2 linked regions of the Oryctolagus cuniculus genome follow. The protein of the gene in region 2 interacts with the protein of the main gene of each other region in a pairwise test. Links are inferred from orthologs where the notes say so. Each region holds a gene or a part of one and is shown on either strand. Other genes may lie near its edges. The genes, in order: LENG8 and ATN1.

Region 1 (3,800 bases), on a different chromosome or scaffold from region 2:
CAGGGCGGGGGGCGCCTACCAGCCCCTGGCTGAGATCCCCCTCGGCTGACCTGGGGGGCCCTCACACTGGAAGGGGCAAAGCGCGCTCTCTCTCTTTCTCTTTAATTTGGTTTCTCTCAAGCTTCCAAACGGTGTGCAGCGCTCCAAGGGAAGAATGGAGGGGGGGTGGGGGGGGAGGCGGAGGCGGCGGCGGCCGTCCGGAGGAGGCAGCCCGGTTTGCAAGCTCGCGCCTCCGTTACATGGCGGAAGAGGGAGGGAGGGCCAAAAGAAAGGGGAGGGAGAAGAAAAAACAACTGAAATCAACACACACATAAAGAAAGAGAAGGAAACATGACGTGAGCGGTGATCCATGGAGGGGGGGGAGCCGCTTTACCTGTGCTGAACCGAGGGAGGGGGGGAGGGAGGGGAGGGAGAAATCAGAAGAGACATTGGGGCGGGGGAGGGGGACACGGAGACAACTTAATACAACTTGAGACGAGGCGGCCCGGCCGGCGAGCTCCCGCGATGGCCTCCGGGGTCCTCCGTGCGCGGCGACGGTGACGGTGGCGGCGGCGGTGGCGGCAGCGGCGTTTCTGGGGTGGGGGCGAGGGTGGGGCACAGTCTCTACGCAGCTCCCCTCACCCCAAACGCTGAGGCCCCGGAGGGCTGGCAACAAGAGTCTGTGACGAGGCGGGCGGTGGGCTGGTTTGCGGGCGCCCCCGCCGAGCGGGCCGGGCTGGACGGCCTGTCTTCTTCCCGCTGGCCCCCCGGCGTGGGACGGGCCGGGCGACGGCCGCGTGCCGGAGTGCAGCTCGAGAAAGAGAGAGAGAAAACACTGAGACAGCATTAGTGGAGGCCGAAGGCGGGCAGCGGCCTGCAGACCACACCCGCCCGCCGCCCGCCCTCCTCCCGCAACCCCACCCCTGGAGGCAAAAAATAAAAACGTAGAAAAAATCTCTGTACAGACGCCCCGAGGCGGGGCGGGGCAGCCGCTCATCCTGGAGCCTGCGCCCCACGACTTAATTTACAACCCAAGTCCATGGCTCAAAAGCAAAATCTGCGGGGTGGCGCTGGGGGGCCGTGCCCGCCCCCGCCCCGCGCCGGTGTGTGCTCAGAAGGCGGACAGCTGCGCCAGGCTGAGGCGGCAGTCGATGCTGGAGTTGTCGGGGCCCGTGTAGGCCAGGCCCAGGGGCTCTAGGAAGGCCTGGCAGGCGGCCTCGCCCTCGAAGGCCAGCTCGGCCTGCAGGTAGGAGACAGGCAGCGCAGGGCGGAAGCTACGGAGACAAGAGGAGAACGTGATGAGGCGGGCAGGAGCGGGGGAGGGCCCCACCGGCAGGGATGGGCGCCCCCCATTCGGGCCCCCCGGGACTCAGCACACTGTGCTCTGCTGCCCAGCCACCCCACCTCCCCACCTCGGGGCTCGGGGGGGCCCGGGGTGGGGCTGGCGGCCCCAGTCCCCAGCTGTGCCCCCCCTCGCCCTCACTTACCTGCGCAGGGGGCCAGGAGGAAAGGGGGCGGGCAGGGGACGGCGGGTCTGGATGCTCACTCGCCAGGGGCTGGGCAGCAGCAGTTCCCTGAGCTGCCGCTAACTCGGGTTCCTGGCCTACGATGGCACATGGCCACCCGGCCCAGGACTCGGGGGTGGCCGTGCACCCGCCGGCAAAGCCCAGGCTTCGCCGTGGCCCTGGGACAGGAGGGCCCACTCCCACCCTGCCCACGCCAGCCTCTGGGCCCCAGCAGGAGTGGTCACAGGCACGCCCCAAGTGGAAGGGCGCTGGGAGAGCACGGTCCAGGACGGACCAGGACTCCACCACAGGGGACACTCGTGGCTGTGTGGCCGGCCAAGGCAGCCGCACACAAAGGAGGCACGCGGAAGGCCGTGTACTGGTGGCCCCAACCCTGGCTCTGTGTCTCCCAGGCGAGATCCTGCACGGCGGCTCTAGGCCATGCTGTGGCTCCCTAATCCCTTCCTGGAAAGGCCAGGCCAGCCAGCTGGCATTCAGGGGCCCCCGGAGCAGCCACCAGCCTCTGGCCAGGGCTGCTAACCTCAGCAAACCACAGGCAGGCCAGCGGACTCTGCATGGACACGGTGTCACCTCCCCAGCTGAGACAACAGAAGTGTGTCCTGACATTGCCCGGCGTCCCCGGGGCTGACAACCCTGGCTCTCAACAGGAGTCACGCCTTTCCACCCGGCCCCCGAGGCCCCACCCCAGACACCAAAGCCCAGTGAACACAGGTCGGGCTCAGTGGGCGGGGCCCGGCCCATCACTGGCCATCCCCACTGCCCGCGGTGTGGCTGGCCCGCATCCCATCCATGTCCCTACACTTTTCTGGCACTCTCACAGGGAGAGGGAACAGGGCCTGGCCCCATGGGACCAGAAGCAGCCGGGAGCAGGGGTCGCCTGGTCTGGTTTCTCTCTAGAGTGGGGGTTAGCCATAGGCTGCATGAGACCGGGCAGATCTCACAGGGAAGACAACACAGCAGGTGCAGGCTGCCCGGAACAGGAGGAAGGGAGGGGCAGACAAGTGGGGGAGGGGGCCCAGGACGCAGGAGGCGGGCGTCCAGAGGCCCACGTGGAAGGAAGCGGTGAGGAGGGAGAGCTGACAGAGCAGCGGGGAGGCCAGCGGGCCAGGAGTCGTCAACGACAGGTTCGGGGGACCAGAGGCCGCGGGGCCACGAGGGCAGAGGGCAGGAGGGCGCAGTGCCACATACGTTTTGATCATTGCCTTGAGGGCAGCTTTGCGCTCCCGGTCTGCAAACTTGTCCACCAGGTAGCCAGACATACAGGGCGCGCGGCCGTGGAGCCGGAAGAAGCGGTGATAATTGCCCAGGGCCCAGGCTGCCCGCAGCGCCAGGGCGTGAGCCACGCAAGGGTCTGCCTTCAGCTCCCGCGTGAGGTACGCCAGCTCCGTGGTGATGTCTGCGCCAGGACAGAGGGGGCGCAGCTCAGCAGGGCTCGCCTGGGCCCTGCACGCACAGACACCCCCCCCACACACACAGACACACTGGGCCCAAGACAAAGGAAGCGCAGCTAGCCGGGCTCGCCCTGGGCCCTGCGTGCACCCACAAACACTGGGCCAGGCTCGCCCTGGGCCCTGCGTGCACCCACACACACACACTGGGCCGGGCTCGCCCTGGGCCCTGCGGGCACCCACACACACACACACTGGGCCGGGCTCGCCCTGGGCCCTGCGGGCACCCACACACACACACTGGGCCGGGCTCGCCCTGGGCCCTGCGGGCACCCACACACACACACTGGGCCGGGCTCGCCCTGGGCCCTGCGGGCACATGCACACAGACACACAGACACACAAGCACACACCGCACACAAGCATGTGCATGCACACCCAACACACACATGTGCACACATACCCCACACACCACAGACACCGCACACACACACACACCACACCCGTCATACACACACACAACCACACACACCAGTCTCCCACACACCCTGTCCAGGGCCGCGCCTCTCACCTCCTGAGTTCTTGGTGAAGATGTAGTAGAGGATCCGGTAGGCCGTGAACTCACCCACGTTGCCCGGCAGGTTCTCTGCGTACAGCGACTTGAGCTGTGTCTGGCACTGGTTAAACTCTTCGTGGTCACCCTGGAGGGCAGGGGCGTGGAGGGGCACGGGCAGCAGCTGAGGCCACAGCAGCGCAGGGGCCGCAGCAGCGCAGGGGCAGGCCCGTACCGCCAGCTCACCTTCTCCAAGGCAATGCGGGCGTGGGTCTCGTACACTTCTACCGTGAACTCGGTGCGGACGCCTTGCACCTGGGGCAGGGGAGAGCGCGTGGGTGAGGCCGAGCGGTG
Region 2 (3,583 bases):
GGTCACTGCGCAGCGGGTCTGGGAGGCTGGGGGAGTTACCGCCACCTGTCGGAGAGGAGGAGCCACTACAGTCCAGGAAGTGAATCGCGAAAGGATTCTGGAATTCCTGGGTTGGAGGGAGGCGGAAAGATTCCTGGTGGATAGTTCCGGTGGGGCGAGGCACTTTGGCAAAAACCTGGTGAGACGGATGGACAGCTTAGGACAAGCACCCTTTTGCGTAATTTCCCTTTGACTCCATTTCTCCCTGTGCCCCACAGAAATTGGCCCAGGAGGGCCGCGCTCCAGTGGAGTGCCCATCTCTGGGCCCAGTGCCGCATCGACCTCCATTTGAGCCAGGCAGTGCTGTGGCCACAGTGCCCCCGTACCTGGGGCCAGATACTCCAGCCCTGCGCACACTCAGTGAATACGCTCGGCCTCACGTCATGTCTCCTGGCAATCGTAACCATCCATTCTATGTGCCCCTCGGGGCAGTGGACCCAGGGCTCCTGGGTTACAACGTCCCGGCCCTGTACAGCAGTGACCCAGCTGCCCGGGAGAGGGAGCGGGAAGCCCGGGAACGAGACCTCCGCGACCGCCTCAAGCCCGGCTTCGAGGTGAAGCCCAGCGAGCTGGAACCCCTCCATGGGGTCCCTGGGCCAGGCCTGGATCCCTTCCCTCGACACGGGGGTCTGGCCCTGCAGCCCGGCCCACCTGGCCTGCACCCTTTCCCCTTTCACCCGAGCCTGGGGCCCCTGGAGCGAGAGCGCCTCGCGCTGGCAGCCGGGCCAGCCCTGCGGCCTGACATGTCCTACGCAGAACGGCTGGCAGCAGAGAGGCAGCATGCAGAGAGGGTGGCGGCCCTGGGCAATGACCCGCTGGCCCGGCTGCAGATGCTCAATGTGACCCCCCATCACCACCAGCACTCCCACATCCACTCGCACCTGCACCTGCACCAGCAGGATGCCATTCACGCAGGTGAGACTTCTTCCTTGCCTACCCCTGGGTACTCTGAAGTTCTTGTGCTTCTGAGATCGCCGCCCTGACCTTTGCTCCCCCGACACGTGCACATCCCTGTTCCAGGCCCCCAGCCAGCCACAGAGCCTGTGTTCCCCACCCCCCAGCTCTCGGTGGTCTGGCCTCCTGCCCCTGCTAAGAGGCCCAGGCTGGAGCCATTTGAAGGCGCACTGCCTTTGGGTCCCGCTCCTTTGCCCAGGCCCCTCGCACATCCATTTCCTTGTTCTGGATTCAGCTTGGTCCCTGACACCCCCTCCCACCTTCCTCCCCCATCTCTAGATCTGCAGCTTTGGGTCTGGGTGTCCCAGGCAGCCCTGGCCGGGTCCACTCACTGTCCCAGTCCTCCAGCTCCCTTTCTCCCAGACTCCCCTGTGTGCTCTCCCTGCACGGTCTAGCGTCTCCTCAATGCAGTCTACCGCTGACTTCCATTTTTTCAGACCCCTCTGCCAGCTGCAATCTGTCCCATCATCCACATGCCCGTCCCCCTGGGCTCCTGCTCTTCCACGTGATGGCCTCTGTCCCACCAGGGGTCTCCTTGTGTTTCCTTGCGCATCTCTTCCCAGGCTTGGATCCCTTCACCCAATGCATGGTTCTCCCTCAGCCTGCCCGCCTCCCAGTGACGCCTTCCTCTTCTCTGCCCTCCAGCCTCTGCCGCGGTGCACCCTCTCATTGACCCCCTGGCATCAGGGTCTCACCTTACCCGGATCCCCTACCCAGCCGGGACCCTCCCTAACCCCCTTCTTCCTCACCCTCTGCACGAGAACGAGGTTCTTCGTCACCAGCTCTTTGGTAAGGATGGAGGCTTTGGTGGGAGCAGAGCAGAAAGGGGCGGGCAGTGGGCTGGGGGAACTGGGAATGGGAGGAGAGCTGAGGCCCTGCCCGAGGGGGGTACACGTGCCAATGCTAGGCTAAGAGGCTTGAATCCCAATTCCACTCCACCATTGGCAACAGGCAAGACTGGCTGTACTAGCTAACCTTCTAGTCTGTGTCTCGTGCAAGTACCTGGGCTGGAACTTGGTATCCACCAGTCACATGCCGCTGCCCTTCCTGCTTCCAGCTGCCCCTTACCGGGACCTGCCAGCCTCCCTCTCTGCCCCGATGTCTGCAGCTCACCAGCTGCAGGCCATGCACGCGCAGTCTGCCGAGCTGCAGCGCTTGGCGCTGGAACAGCAGCAGTGGCTGCACGCCCACCACCCACTGCACAGCGTGCCCCTGCCAGCCCAGGAGGACTACTACAGGTACACGGGGGCACAGCCAGCCTGGGGTGGGCTGGGAACCTCTCCTCCCCGGCCTCGTGTCAAGGTTGCTCTGTGTCTCACTTCTCTGCTGTGTGCCGCCCTTTCTCCAGTCACCTGAAGAAGGAGAGCGACAAGCCGCTGTAGAAGCTGCCATCGAGAGCACCCGTGGCTCCCATATCTCACCCTGGAGGTCCCCTTCCTGGCCTGTCACCGGAGCCCAGGAGAGGGTGCTGCTTACTTGCAGGGCCTCTGCAGCTGGGCAGAGGGAGGGAGGGAGGGAGGGACAAAGACCAAGGCCCACATGGTGTGCCCAGGTGGGGAGGTGGCCAGGGTGGGGACAAAGCGCACGGTGTCTGGGCCAGGCCCCTCTTCCTCGTCCCCCGGCTTTCCTCCTCCCCCGTGCCCCTTCCCGACCCTTTGGTGTGATGATCTCATCTGTTAGATGTGGCTGTTTTGCGTAGCATCGTGTGCCGCCCCCACCCCTCCCCAGTCCCTGTGTGCGCGCCCCTCTGCGATGTACGCCCCGTGCCCCCCACATTAATAATTTATATATATAAATATCTATATGATGCTCTTTAAAAAACATCCCAACCAAAACCAACCAAACAAAAACATCCTCACAACTCCCCAGGAAGTCGGCTGTGACTGGTTTTTTGTGGGCCGCTGCTGGGGTGGGTCTCCGCCTCCGGGAAGAGGCGGCAGAGACCGGCTGGGAGGCGGGAAGGGAGCGACCTAAAGGACCGGGGCGGGGGGCCCGGCGGGGGCATTCCTGCCCCAGCCACCGAGGCAGAGAAGGCGACGGGCGGGCCTCTGGCAGGCCCATCAGACGCGGTCGGTCTGGGCCGCGGGCCTTGGGCCCCCGGTGCCCGCCATCCCGGCTGTGGACGTCCGAGCTGGGGTGCGGTGGGCGTGGCTCGGTCGGCCAGGGCAGTCGGTGACTGGCAGACTCGACTACCCCAAGAGGAGCGGGCGGAGCGGGAGACTTTTTAATCTGCATCAGCCACCGCCGAGGAAAGCCATTTTGGGGCAGTGCGAGAGCGGCTCCTGCGCCGGGCTTTTGTTGCTGCCAATCAGTGCCTTCGTTCTTAAGGAAGAGGCTGCGACTGGCCGCTTTCTCGGCCAATCAACATGGAGCTCATTTGCATAGGGTCGTAATCAACCGTTCGTAAACTCTAAAGATGAATGATTTCAGTAAGTTCTTAAGAATACTTTTCATTTCTGCTGAAAAGTAGTGTACGTCGTTGCTCACTCAGGAGCGAGACGAAGGAACGAAACCCCACTCTGAGCTCACCCTCACTAACTGTGGAGTTCGTGCGTGGTCGGTGATCGCTTCGGGCCCGGCCGCCTGACAG

What was found.
Region 1: the proteins of ATN1 (region 2) and LENG8 interact in a two-hybrid assay, tested with the Homo sapiens proteins (2 studies listed by BioGRID and IntAct). The link is inferred for Oryctolagus cuniculus from reciprocal best matches to the Homo sapiens genes ATN1 and LENG8.

What each region holds. Positions count from the first base shown.
Region 1 is NC_091449.1:4,261,207-4,265,006, reverse strand, and holds the end of LENG8 (leukocyte receptor cluster member 8), read right to left. Parts: intron 3,762-3,800; coding exon 3,693-3,761; intron 3,595-3,692; coding exon 3,465-3,594; intron 2,902-3,464; coding exon 2,411-2,901; 3' UTR 1,254-2,410; coding exon of another isoform or gene 1,091-1,253; 3' UTR 86-1,090; downstream 1-85. Other genes in the region: LENG9 (leukocyte receptor cluster member 9), read left to right, coding at 1-49.
Region 2 is NC_091440.1:102,603,230-102,606,812, reverse strand, and holds the end of ATN1 (atrophin-1), read left to right. Parts: intron 1-257; coding exon 258-954; intron 955-1,556; exon of another isoform or gene 1,557-1,638; coding exon 1,639-1,782; intron 1,783-2,050; coding exon 2,051-2,231; intron 2,232-2,341; coding exon 2,342-2,375; 3' UTR 2,376-2,865; downstream 2,866-3,583. UniProt on the Homo sapiens protein: Transcriptional corepressor. Recruits NR2E1 to repress transcription. Promotes vascular smooth cell (VSMC) migration and orientation. Corepressor of MTG8 transcriptional repression.